3 linked regions of the Nothobranchius furzeri genome follow. The protein of the gene in region 1 interacts with the protein of each later gene in a pairwise test. Links are inferred from orthologs where the notes say so. Each region holds a gene or a part of one and is shown in the gene's direction. Other genes may lie near its edges.

Region 1 (4,146 bases):
AAAATACATAAATATAATTTTACTTACCGAAAAAAATGAAGTGGAGACTCCTTGGACGCTCTATTAGTGCAATTAATACCACAGCAAGTCTTTTTGTCCAACAATTGCACAAAAAATATCCAAAAAAGAATGTACAAACACAGAGACTCAAAATCCTGGAACAGTTTCCAAGCCAGACCGAGGCTCTACTGAGAGCTAGCTCTATGACTTTGAACGTCAGTTGAGAGTCAGTCTCATGCCAGACTGACCAGTGAAGAGAGGGCCTCAAGTTAAGACCCTCTCCTCATTGGTCAGTCCACACAAGGTGGGTCAAAGGTTACCCTGAGCAGGTTACATGATGTCAGGCATTCAAGTATTGAGTATATTTACTGCATATTACAGTAAAATATTCTGTATGTGACCATATTATGGTGATCCTTGGGTCATGATGATGGGGCCCTTGAATATTGTTGCCCAGGGTACAACAAAGTGTTAATCTGGCCCTGCTCCTGCCACCAACAGAGCAGCTGTTTTGGGGAGTTTGCAAAGAAAATGTGAACTTATCGCTATCATAATCATTCTGTCCTGTTTTGCAAAATACTGCGTGCTTTTTGTTTCTTTTACTTACAAAACTGAAACACAACTGTGAAATTATTTATCACACTGTTGGACATACTTTATATCTCTTGGCTCTCAAGCATTGATGCAATCTTATTAAAGCAGAGTAAATAGGATAAACATGTATGCCTTACCTTGGTGTGAAATATAATAAAACTGCCCTTTTTCACCCAGGTTGCAGGTCTGTTTCTCTTCTAGAGTAATGAAAACTGCTGAAAAAAAGTCTAAATCATAATCAGCTTTGAATTCAATTTCGATATACATTTAATCAGATGATGAGAGATGTGTTCTAACTTGTAAACAACAATATTTATTATAAGCTCACATTTGACGTTTTTTATGTAATTTTATAAAAGAAAATGAAGCTGGTATGTTGCAAAATAGGACAGAATGGTTATTGTAGCGCTAAATTCATATTTTCTTTTTTAAAACTCCTCAAGACCTAGGCTGTAACCCTGTAGCGAGGAAAGACGGTTCCTCTTACATTAAATAGCCAATCGCAACAGAGCCCATCCAGCTAATCAGAGGCGAGAAAAGCGGGACGTCATACGATTCCAAATGACGTTTACGGCGAGGCTACGTAGGGAAGGTCTTCGATCTCGCGAGACTTTCCGTGAATTGGCGTAGCCGCGTTTGTGTGGTGTGTGTTACTGTACACGCTAACTAAACCTAACCACCTAAACTTTGTCATATTTGTCGGTAAACCTCTCCGGTATACATAGTTAAGGTGAAGTGGTCTTTAGAATCAACGTAACCATGAGTGTGCTTGCCAAAATAGCAGAGATAGAAAATGAGGTAAGGCGAAAGTTGACGCTTTAAACCCTTCGAGTCTGTCACGTTTAGTTCACATAGCTACTGCTAGTCGCTAACGCTATCTCATAAAAGAAGATCCATTTTAACCTATATTTGACTGGCCCCGCATCCCTGACAGTTTAAGCTGTTAAAAAAAGAAAATGTATTTCAGTGTTCAGTTTAGTTGTCACTTATAGATGAATAAAGAGATTAATGTCAGTTCACAGATGTTGGCAACGCATATGCTAAACCGGTTCTAGCTTAGATTTGAATAACTGATTAATTTAATCTGTTAATTGCTTTAATATTATCGTTATTAACTGACAGATGCGCTGAGTTGACAATATCGAAATGCACTGACGCGAAAACGGCACCGGACCAAATTTTTGTTTTTAAGCCACTCTGAGCGTACAGGCATCAAATATAATTCAGATACGTGTAATAAATGGTTGTTTGTTGGTAATCTGTTATAAAAGTACAAATTGTCTCCAGTTCTTTAGAGTGCTACAAAATATAAAAGCAGAGTTAGAATTAGGGGTAGACCAATATATATAGGCCGATATTAACGGTTTTTTATACATCAGTGTTATTTGTCTTTCAGAAAGCCAATTTAAAGTCAGGCACATCCTCAGGCAGCCCGGTGCTGTTATAGAATTTAATCTAAATGTATTTTTGCATTCACTAATAAAATCTGCATAATAAATACTCTAACTTTATATAGTTGCCTCACAGTGCACAAAGTTAACAGTTATGGGCCATTCCCATCTGTACCGGGTCGGCCCGGGCCGGGTAGCGTAGGTTGTTTACATATCTGGGTGGTCTGGTATTTTTCTGGGCCAAACAAGGCTCATTCTCAGCCCTCTTCTCAAGGGGGTCTGCTTCAGGCCGACCAGGGCCAACACACCCACTGCTGACAGCAAATTCACACCTTCCATTAGAGCAAGCCTCTGATTGGTGGGTAGAATCAGCCCACATGGGCTTAAGACAAGAATGTGTGGAATCAACCAGGCCAGGCTGGGGCCGACTGGGGCTACCCGGCCCGGGCCAACCCGGTACAGATGGGAATGGCCCATTATTCGTTAAATTTAGAGATCAAAAACTGCTTCAGAAATTTTGTGCATCAACCGTTATTAGTGACAGTTAAGCATGAAAATCAGGTGGAAAATGTCTAGATATTGGCTATTTGAAATCGGGCCATAAATATTGGCAATACATATTGGACATTGGCTGAACTTGTCTCCTACATTTCGGCAATAGAAAAACAAATATCAGTAAATAAAGATTATTACAAGAAAATCAGCTTCCTAGGAAGCAAACCTGAAGAAGTTATGCGTGGTTTAAATGTTTTGAACAATGCTACTACTGTATTATTAAATAAACTTTTTCGAATAATCTAAATAAGTTGGTGTAATGAAATAGATATCCATCTTTCCATCAAAACTAATATTTTTTCTGCAATATCTGTATGCTGTGTGTAAAGTCAGATAGAACACAGATATGTATGACCTCCTATAATTATACTGAGCTCATATTAGGCACCCATCCAGTCTTCTTAAAGTTTCCTTTTAATTTTGAGCAAGCCATGAATCAAAATTTAGACATTTCAAGTAATTAGCTTCTGTTAAAGTTCTACTTTGAAAGCAATAAAACGGTCCAGCTAAATGTTTTACTTCTTATTTCATCATGCACTCTGGTGTTACTGTAGATGGCCAGGACACAGAAGAACAAGGCCACAGCTCACCACTTGGGTCTGCTCAAAGCACGTCTAGCTAAGCTGAGGAGGGAGCTCATCACACCAAAAGGCGGGAGTGGTGGTGGACCTGGAGAAGGTAGTCTTACTATATTGTGTATTTAATTCACAAATAGCTCCAATTCAGGAATTGTTTCTGAGGTTTCTCTCCCATGAGGCATTTAAATTTATGTCTGTTTTTATCCATAATTACAGAAATTCAGGTTTTTATTCTCTCACATACAGGTTTTGATGTGGCAAAAACCGGCGATGCTCGAGTTGGTTTTGTTGGCTTTCCTTCAGTAGGAAAGTCCACCCTGCTGAGTAACCTAGCAGGTGTGTACTCTGAGGTTGCAGCATACGAGTTCACAACGCTTACAACAGTTCCTGGGGTCATTCGGTATAAAGGTGCCAAAATTCAGGTACAGGAAAATGTCTTCCAGTCCTGAGATATTAAAGTGGTGTTTCATTGGGTTGAGATTTATTTTTTCTTTATAGCTCCTGGATCTTCCAGGAATCATCGAAGGAGCCAAGGACGGCAAGGGTAGAGGCAGGCAGGTCATTGCAGGTAGAGTTTTATTAGATTTCTGCTAAAGCAAAAAGAAAGCCACTGATGTTATAATTTTGGAATTTAACTGAAATCAGAAATTAACTTTGAATAAAAGGTTTTTTTTATGAATTGCTGTCAACTAGACCTAACTTGTGTGTTTATAACCTAAAACACGATGACTTATTGTAAATGTTTTATTTATAACTGTTTCATGTTCTTAGAGGCCTTAGCAGGGTTTCTGCAACTATCTAGCTCCTAAAATAGCAAACAATTGTGCAGACATGGCAAGCTTTATTCTCTTGCATCATTCCAACTGTATCTAATAAAACAGAATGTTATCTTTCCTCTTTCTGTTTTATTCTCAGTGGCTCGAACCTGCAATCTAATCCTGATAGTGCTGGATGTGTTAAAGCCTCTTCTTCATAAGAAGCTAATAGAACATGAGCTGGAGGGCTTTGGCATCCGACTTAACAAACAG
Region 2 (4,332 bases), on another chromosome or scaffold:
GATTTACAGACTTTACAAGACAAGATTTACAATTGCAGCCATGAGGTGGGAGGTTTAGTGTTTGGTGGCAGGAAGGTCTCATCTTAGAGGACTCCAAAGCACTTTACAATACAGTGCAGCATAGACACATTCACACAGGTGTCTTGGGGCGCACTGACAGACTGCAGCATTATCATTGCTGTCCATCCGTCCCACCACCACCAGCAGGCAAGAAGGTGACTTGTCTTGCTCTGACTGACACAAATGGAGTCTGGGTTAAAACCAGCAACCTACCAGTTACAGGGTAAACTCCTAAACCTCTGAGCCCAGTCACCCCGTGGATGATGTGGCCCTGTGTGAAGTGGAATAAGGATCAGCACCTCCAAATCCAAGACCAGAAAACTCCAGGTCAAGGGAGAAGGCCTGATTCAAGTGCAAAGTTAAAATCTGGGGTTATTGTTCATGAGGGAAGTAACGGGTGATTGAGAGGCGGATCCATCAGCATTGGATAAACATGTCTGTTGTGGTGGTAAGGGAGAAAGAAGATTGTGAAAACAAGCAGCCAAGTTTCCCCAGCCAACACACAGGTGGGCCTTATATGGAATATATGTGAGCAAGCTGTATGGGTCCCACCAGGGTTTGCCCGCAGTATCCACAGTGGCCCCACAGGGGTTTACCCACAAAGATTCGAAACCCTCTGAAAACCCATGTAGGGCCTGTTAAAATCTACGTGGGTAAAGATCTTTCTGGGCAAACCCCTGTGGGGCCACCATGGAAACCGCGGACAAACCATGGTGGGACCCATACAGCTCGCTCACATATGTCCCAAATGGGGCCCACCTATTTGTACTGGCTAGACTCAGCCTGAGGTTGTGGAGTGGGGCACCTGGGAGGGAATCCAAGTGGAACGCCTGCGTCTCTACATCAACAGGAGCCAGCTGAGATGGTTCGGGCATTTGGTCAGGCCACGGGAGAAGTATTTTGGGTGTGTCCTGCTGGCGGGAGGAGGCCCCCAGGCAGGGGTGAATTTAGGACTGAAGAAGATCCGGGACTTAACGCACGCGCGCGCGCACACACACACACGTAACACGCACTAGTCTTTTCATAAAACATTCAGGGCTTGAGCCCAAGTAGCCAGGCCAAACGCAGGTCCTGCTCCCAGGTCAACCCATAAGGGGATTCTGGATCTAGTCTGGGCCACTCTGGGGCAGCTTGTGGAAGTGGCTGAGGAGGAGAGGAGGGTCTGGGCTTCCCTGCTGCTGCCTCTGCAACCCGAGAACACACTTAGATGATTTGTAGTGTCGTTTCATATTATAAACCGTCTTTCTGAGTTTAACATACGCAAACTACATCTCCCATCCTGCTCTTCGGGTGCGCCATGACGCAACAGGACATCAACAGCTCACGTGTGGCCTAAACGGCGCCGCTGTTGCTGCCGAGTGCTAGTAACATCTGCTTCATGAGGGGCTGCTTTCACATCCAAAAGACCTATTTTCTAGTAGTTTTACCCACTTTTACTTCCCACCGCTGCTCCTGAGCCAACATGCCGCCGAAGAAACCGCCCCAGCCCGCGGGGAATAAAAAAACTCAGGAGAAGAAAAAGGAAAAGATCATTGAGGTAAAAAAATACACGAGTTAGCCTGTCGGCGTTTGGTTTCAGCTCAGCGCCAAACTGAAGCCACCAAACGCGTAAAGTCCTCCAGACCTTTGGTTATGGTTGTGTGTAAACTATGATTATGCAACTTCTAACTGTGGCGTTCTCTGCTGTTATTAGCTAAAACTTATGAAGCTGACAGATTCGTGTAGCATAGATGCTAATAGCAGGGCCTACAAGTTGTCCGGCGTAGCTTTTTATCTTTCAGTCATGTTCTAGTAATTATTTTATGACCTGAAAATCATCTTTATGCATTAAATGGCTCAGGTGGACGCTTAATGGGTCTTATCTGGTCAGGTGTTGACCAGAACAGGTAAGAATAAAGTTAGGTAGCCGTTATAACTGCTTTGTTAACGTGACCAGGCTGCTTATTTAAGTGATTTCTGAGTTCAGGCCGCAGTCAGATAAGCTGGAGAAGCTGGCTGGAGTAATGAGCACAGACAGGAGACCACGTCACTGACGTGTTGACGTTCAGATTAATAGTTGTAATGTTTCCATGTTATTCATTAAGAGACAAGTCAACACAGTCTATCCTAATTCTGATTTATTCACATGAGATAATTCAACATTTATTTTCAACAAGTTGGGAAAGATGGTCAGTTTTTCTTTAACTCATGTAAGCATCACTCCAATACGTTTGGATAAATGTAGTAGGGAAGTTTTTATATCTGACCTTGTTTCTCTGTGCTTTTAATGCTGGGAAGTGAAGTCTTTCAGTTGTCATCTTAGGAGAAAACTATTTTGCATTTGAGAAATACACTAAACTCTAGGAAAATGAGTTCAGATCACAACAAATATCTCATAAGATGTTGGTGTGACACCATGTGAACTGGTAATTGTTCCAACATGTTACTTTGTCAAAAACTATACATCCATTTTCAGCTGCTTATCTGGGGTCTGGTTGCTGGGGCAGCTAAACAGAGAGGCTCAGACTTCCTCCTCTCCAGCCACTTGGGCCAGCTCTTCCGGGGGAACCCCAAGGCCTTCCCTGGCCAGCAGGGAGACATGGTCCCTCCAGCGTGTCCTGGGTCTCTCTTTAGGTCTTCTCCCAGTAAAACCTCACCAGGGAGGCGTCTGACTAGGAGACATCCTGACCAGATGCCCAAGCCACCTCAACTGGCTCCTTTTGTTATGAAGGAGCAGTGGATCTACTCCGAGCCCCTCCCGGATTACCAAACTTCTCACCCTGTCTCTAAGGGAAAGCCCAGCCACCCTGCAGAAAACTCATTTCAGCCGCTTGCATCCATGATCATGTTCAAAGCTTGTGACCATAGGTGAGGGTTGGAACGTAGATTGACTCGGTAAATCGAGAGCTTTGCCTTCCAGCTCAGCTCTCTCTTCACCACGGCAGATCGCATCACTGCAGACGCAGCACCAATCCACCGATCAGTGTCCCGATCCATCTTTCCCTCACTCGTGAAAAAGACGCTGAGATGCTTAAACTCCTCGACTTGAGGCAGGACCTCGTTCCTGACCTGGAGAAGGCATTCTACCTTTTTCTGACTCAATCAAAAAAAAAAAAAAAATTATACAGCAACTACAACTTCTTTAAATCCAGTAACTTGCTTTAAATACAATTTGGGCAAGTGACATTTATCTTAAAACTAAAGATTACGGATGCTTTGAGGTGGATTTTAAATTTCTTTAAATTTTTTACCAAATGATTTGAACCGTTGAATTTAGAAATGGTTTTAGTTGGTTTAGTTATGTCCTGCAAACAAATGTACAGGTCCTTCTAAAAAAATTTGCATATTGTGATGAAGTTGATTGTTTTCTGTAATGGACTGATAAACATTAGACTTTCATATATATTAGATTCATTACACACAACTGAAGTAGTTCAAGCCTTTTATTAGCCACGTTTACATGCGCATATTTAATCGGATTGAATGCCCATTCAGATTGAAAATTCTGCATGTAAACATGTCAATCAGAATATTCTGATCCGATTCGGCCCGATCGGATTGAAATTTCAATCCGATTGAGAGAGGTGGTTTATTCCGTTCTTCATTCCGATTGACGTGCATGTACACAGCCATTCGGATTGTTGGGGTAAAATAATGCCCACTGCGCATGTGTGCAACAGCCAGCGGGCCTCTCCGCTGTCATTTGGACTGCCTGACTTCAAAAATGACAGCGAAATTAACGAGCGGCAGCTTTTAAATCCAACGACAAGACGTCCCGTTTCAGTAATATTTAATTCAGAACTTGCATTTTGTGGAAGTAAAATAAAAATCTGATTATTGCACAAATCATTCGACAAAGATGTTCAAATCTGTACTGGAAATACGCGGGTTTATCGTGGGGGTTGCAGCGCACGGATCCCCGTTTCTGTCAGCTTTGAACACAGCAGCTTCTGCAGCAGGTGATGGAGACACGCTTGTAAAGAACACAGGATAATCTGGGTTTTACAGACCTGATTGGAGGCTGATGTTGGGTAGAAAAACGTCCTCGGTTAAATACTCTGGACGACAGTAAAGTCCATGTTAAAAGCACGTAAACGCAGATGACCTGAGATGCGGTTCGTTAATGATGAACACAGGCTTCTAAACTTTCTGAACATCTTCTGTTATTTTGTTTGAACAGATTTTTCTCAACAGTTTCAGCTGATCGTCACATGTTATTAATAATAAGCCACAACAGAGCTCAGTAATAAAACATGAGGCTAACCCCCCCACCCCCCACCCCCGCTCTGTGGC
Region 3 (4,421 bases), on another chromosome or scaffold:
AGCTTCTGATAGAAAATAGGCAGTGAAAGGCTAGGACTTGAAAAAAGTCTGACAGATCTACACTGTCACTTAACATTCATGGAATCACCCACCTTGACTCATGACGGGGAAGTTGTTGGTTTAGCGTCCAGCAGAGAACATCTCAGCTTGTGGAAGCTAACTGTTAGCATAACAACTTCACCGTACAGCAGAAGCTCCTACAGGCTTGTGTAAGTTGTGGAGATAAATTATCAACTTTACAGAGCAAACAGAGTCAGTGGTAGAGTCACCCTGCTGTTATCCAATCCAGGGTGAGATGTCCAATTATCAGGAAATAAGACTCCAAAACCTGCCTTCTGAAGCTTTTTTTTAAAACAAGTTTTATTTAACCAATGAAGCTTACAGGCTTACATAAGAATCAATATTTACAGTTGAATTCTGAGCATGACATATATATATATATATTACATCAAACAACATTATTAGGAGTAAAGGAAACATTCACCAAATTGTTATAGAGCCAAATGGCTTTCTTGGAACTACATGGAATCCATAAAGGATGCAAGTTCTTTAAATAAAAACAATAAAGATCGGTTTGATATTGCCAAATTTACATTTGTGTATAAAGAATTTGGCGAAAATAATCAAATTATTGACAGTGAATTGCTGCATTTTATTCTCCAAACTAATACCATACTTGATGTCAGAAAAAGATAAGGAGCGTATAATGAAATTATTATGCGTTAACCACGAGTGAAAACTATCCCAGAAAATTTTGGTAAAGATGCATGTGAAAAATAAATGTATCTCAGTTTCTATATTAGAAGTGCAAAAGGCACAATCGTTCTCTCCAATAGCCTTCTGAAGCTCAGTTGTGATGTGAGCAACTTTAGGTCCAGGAAATGGTGCACCAGATTTAAAAAATAATGCTGTAAACAAATAGTCTTTTCAGAAACATAAATAATTATTTTTTAAATGTTTTTTTTTAATTTACAAAAGATAAAAGTAAGTGACCCAAAACATCCAGCCAAAGTCATTAAGAACTGTCTTCAGCGTGAAGAACCAGAAGTCCTGGATGGTCTGGCCCCCCACAGAGCCCTGATCTCAACATTACATGGAGACAGAATGATGTGAGGAAGCCTACATCCACAGAAGATCTGTAGTTAGTTCTCCAAGATGTTTGGAACAACCTACAAGCCCAGTTCCTGCGACAACGGTGTGCACGTGTAGGTAGAAGAAAGTGGTCACAATAATTACTGATTTTTCTTTTGTTCACTCATTCCTTTTTTAATTGGTTTTTGAATAAGCTATCTTGTTTTATCATTTTCTGCTTTCTATTCTTTATTATTACTACAATATACTACTTTATTTATAATACAATCACACTGCAGTGCTTCATTGTTAGATGCTAAATAGAAATGATACCGTTGATTCTGTTTTAAGCTCAGAGAGAACAATCTGGTTCCACTCTTGTCCAGCAGGTGGCAGTAACGCGCCTTACGTAGGCCACAGTTTGTCAGACCAAATGTTCGATCCTTGATATCATCGATTGATAGTGAGTGGGTCCCTCGCGGTAGCGTTTTTGTGCCTGTCATGGTTCTATTGAAGACCAGATAACCTTCAGATACTCAAAAATGACGGACTACCTTGAAGAGCAAAGAAATGAACTTGAAGCTATAGAATCCATCTATCCTGACTCGTTTACAGGTTCGATCTTCGTCACGTTTTAATTTCTAGCTTCCAGCTAGCAGGCGTCAGCTAACCGATTAGAACAGCATTTTCCCGGTGTGTTCCCAGATATGAAGGCTAGGCTGACATAGGGGTTGTCCAGTTCCTGGGACTACAGTCGGGTTTAACCTACTGAACCCAAGACCGATTCCGTTTTTACTTCTGGAGTGTGTTTGAACATGCTAGTAGCTAAAGAACATCTGGAAGTTCCATGGTGGAACACAGAGTTAAAGCATCTATGTAGCTGCAATGTTGGAACGTTTAATTGTGGAGTGAATTTCAAACTTTAGTGTTTATCTGAACCTGTTGGTATGAGTTCATAGAGATTATTTCCTCTGATGTGCTCTCAGTGCTGTCTGAAGACCCCACCAGTTTCACCATCAATGTGACGTCAGATGCTGGGGAACACGGCGAGAGTGAGTACACCTCATACTCTCCTCCCACGCCCCCTAGCCTTCTATACCTCCAACACCTTTTACATCTAGCACACTTTTCACCATCACATCAAAACTCAGCTTTTGGATCACCTCTGCCAGTGTGCTGTGGCTACGATGCAGCTCATCACCACCAGAGTGAATGGATGAATAACTGTAGTGTAAAGCACTTTGGACTCATCTGGCTCAGACTGGCACTGTACAAGTGCAGGTCATTCATCACGTGTGATTGGGAGGTTTTGTTTCAAACGCCAGTCATTGAGTTTCTGTGTAAGGTGTCATAACAAACAGCTTTCTGTTTGTTACAGCGGTGGAAGCAACGCTAAGGTTTACATATGTAGCCAAATACCCTGATGAGCCTCCGTTGTGGGAGATCTACTCCCAGGAGAACCTGGAGGACCAGGATGCGGAGGACATCCTCACCTTACTGCAGCAGCAGGTCTGTCAGTACATGTCGCCTTCACTCTCTGTAAACGTTGGGTGTCTTCAGGAATGAGCTCAGACTGTCTTGGGGTGAATGGTAACTCTGCATATGAAAGGCTCAAACTGTTTCAGGTCATTTTTAGGTGTTTTAACATCCGGTTGTTGGTCTGATTTCATGTGATTCGTGTCACTCTTCAGGCTGAGGAGAACTTGGGGATGGTGATGATTTTTACCCTGGTGACAGCTGTCCAGGAAAAACTAAATGAAATAGTGGATGCAATGAAAAACAGGCAAGAAGAGGAACGACGTCAGAAAGAGAAGGAAGCAGAGGAAGCAGAGAAGGTAATGGTGATTAGTCTTATTTTAGATTAAGCAACAGGCACTGAGGATTTTCCTGTTCGACTTAAGGCATGACCAGATTTTTCATCCATCTCCCTGGGCTCAGTGCTGCTTTGATTTTCTGTTAATGGTTTCTCCCTGTTTGGTAGGTGGCGTTCCAGGGCACAGTGGTGACCATTGAAAACTTCCTGGCATGGAAAGCCAAGTTTGAGCTGGAGATGACGGAACTTAGAAGAAAAAGACAGAAAGAGGAGGAGCAGGCTGGAAAACCCAAACTGACTGGTAAGCCTGTTGGTCCAGATTCCCAGGATGGGGCTGATCAGGAGTCTCATTGATCAAACATTGTGTAGAATACTTACTAAAACCGTACTTAAGCTCAGCAAAAAAATGTATTTATGCCAAGTAGGTTTGTGATCTATCAAACTTGGAGTACACACAGCTGCACGCAATCTCCGCTTAATAAATCAGAGACTAACGAGAAAGGTTCTCAGCTGTTTCTGAGTCACATCCCGCCCTCAACACACCCACTTACTGCCTTAAATGGTCAATGCAAAGTGCCTTGTGGATCTCATGCATATACATAAGCCGGCTGTTGCAGCGCTCCGCCAATGACGATGGCGACCGTAGATCAAGGAAGCGCTATTTCACAGAAGCAGAAATTGAGGTACTTGTAGGTGAGGTGGAGAAATGAAAGGAAGTGCTTTTGCAAAACAAATAAGAGAAAATCCACGGAGTGGCACAGCGTTGCTGAAGCCGTCAATGTTGTGAATTTTTCAGAGAGATCTGTGGTGGAGATTAAAAAAAAGTGGTCCGATTGGGACTCGATCCCCAGACTCCTGCGTGAAAGTCACGCGCTAACCAGTTAGCCAAAGGGACATCCCCTTGTCCAAGTAGCCAGGGCGCATGATCAATCAGGTCACAGTGACAAGACACTCACACCGTCACAGACGCATGACATTCTGTCTCAATCTGTCCCCCTGCTGATATTCAGCATTCCGTATTCTGCGCTTCAAGCTGTGTGTGTGTGCGGGGGGGGGGGGGGGGTCTTGTTCTGTGTGAAAACGAAGCAGTACAAGTGATAATGCTGCAGGATTTCATAATTGTATCCTTCTCAGCAGCAGCACTGCAGGTGCTCTCCATGTCCAAAATGTGCGTAAGCCAGGTCCTTAGTCAACTTAAAGTTGCGCACATTTTTCCGCTAAGTTTTCTTTTATAAATCCTAGTTTGCGTGGAAAGTTGCTTACGCAGTTTTCCGACCCCGTTTTGTGCGTAAGCAAGCTTGATAAATGAGACCCCTGCTCCTCAGAGAAGTTTTCTCACTTCAGACCTGACATGTGAGCAGTTTCACGGCTGTAGTGAGTTCTCCATTTAAAAAGGTAACACATGTAGAGTGCTTGAAACTGTAACTGAAATTGATTGTAGCACAATGGTGTTTCCACACTTGCAGCATTTAGTCAATTTAAATTTACCTCCATGGTTCAGTTCTTCTGAACAAAGTTGTTTTACCAGGATGCAGAA

The links.
Region 2: the proteins of drg1 (region 1) and zc3h15 interact in binary tests that used the Homo sapiens proteins (3 or more experiments, as listed by UniProt). The two-hybrid records come from large-scale screens. The link is inferred for Nothobranchius furzeri from reciprocal best matches to the Homo sapiens genes DRG1 and ZC3H15.
Region 3: the proteins of drg1 (region 1) and rwdd1 interact in binary tests that used the Homo sapiens proteins (3 or more experiments, as listed by UniProt). The two-hybrid records come from large-scale screens. The link is inferred for Nothobranchius furzeri from reciprocal best matches to the Homo sapiens genes DRG1 and RWDD1.

Annotation. Positions count from the first base shown.
Region 1 is NC_091746.1:51,122,850-51,126,995, forward strand, and holds the start of drg1 (developmentally-regulated GTP-binding protein 1), read left to right. Parts: upstream 1-1,202; 5' UTR 1,203-1,353; coding exon 1,354-1,392; intron 1,393-3,094; coding exon 3,095-3,218; intron 3,219-3,364; coding exon 3,365-3,540; intron 3,541-3,616; coding exon 3,617-3,686; intron 3,687-4,033; coding exon 4,034-4,146. UniProt on the Homo sapiens protein: Catalyzes the conversion of GTP to GDP through hydrolysis of the gamma-phosphate bond in GTP. Appears to have an intrinsic GTPase activity that is stimulated by ZC3H15/DFRP1 binding likely by increasing the affinity for the potassium ions.
Region 2 is NC_091752.1:40,303,214-40,307,545, reverse strand, and holds the start of zc3h15 (zinc finger CCCH domain-containing protein 15), read left to right. Parts: upstream 1-1,390; 5' UTR 1,391-1,522; coding exon 1,523-1,597; intron 1,598-4,332. UniProt on the Homo sapiens protein: Protects DRG1 from proteolytic degradation. Stimulates DRG1 GTPase activity likely by increasing the affinity for the potassium ions.
Region 3 is NC_091745.1:58,580,686-58,585,106, forward strand, and holds the start of rwdd1 (RWD domain-containing protein 1), read left to right. Parts: upstream 1-1,493; 5' UTR 1,494-1,613; coding exon 1,614-1,686; intron 1,687-2,057; coding exon 2,058-2,123; intron 2,124-2,449; coding exon 2,450-2,580; intron 2,581-2,762; coding exon 2,763-2,906; intron 2,907-3,052; coding exon 3,053-3,185; intron 3,186-4,421. UniProt on the Homo sapiens protein: Protects DRG2 from proteolytic degradation.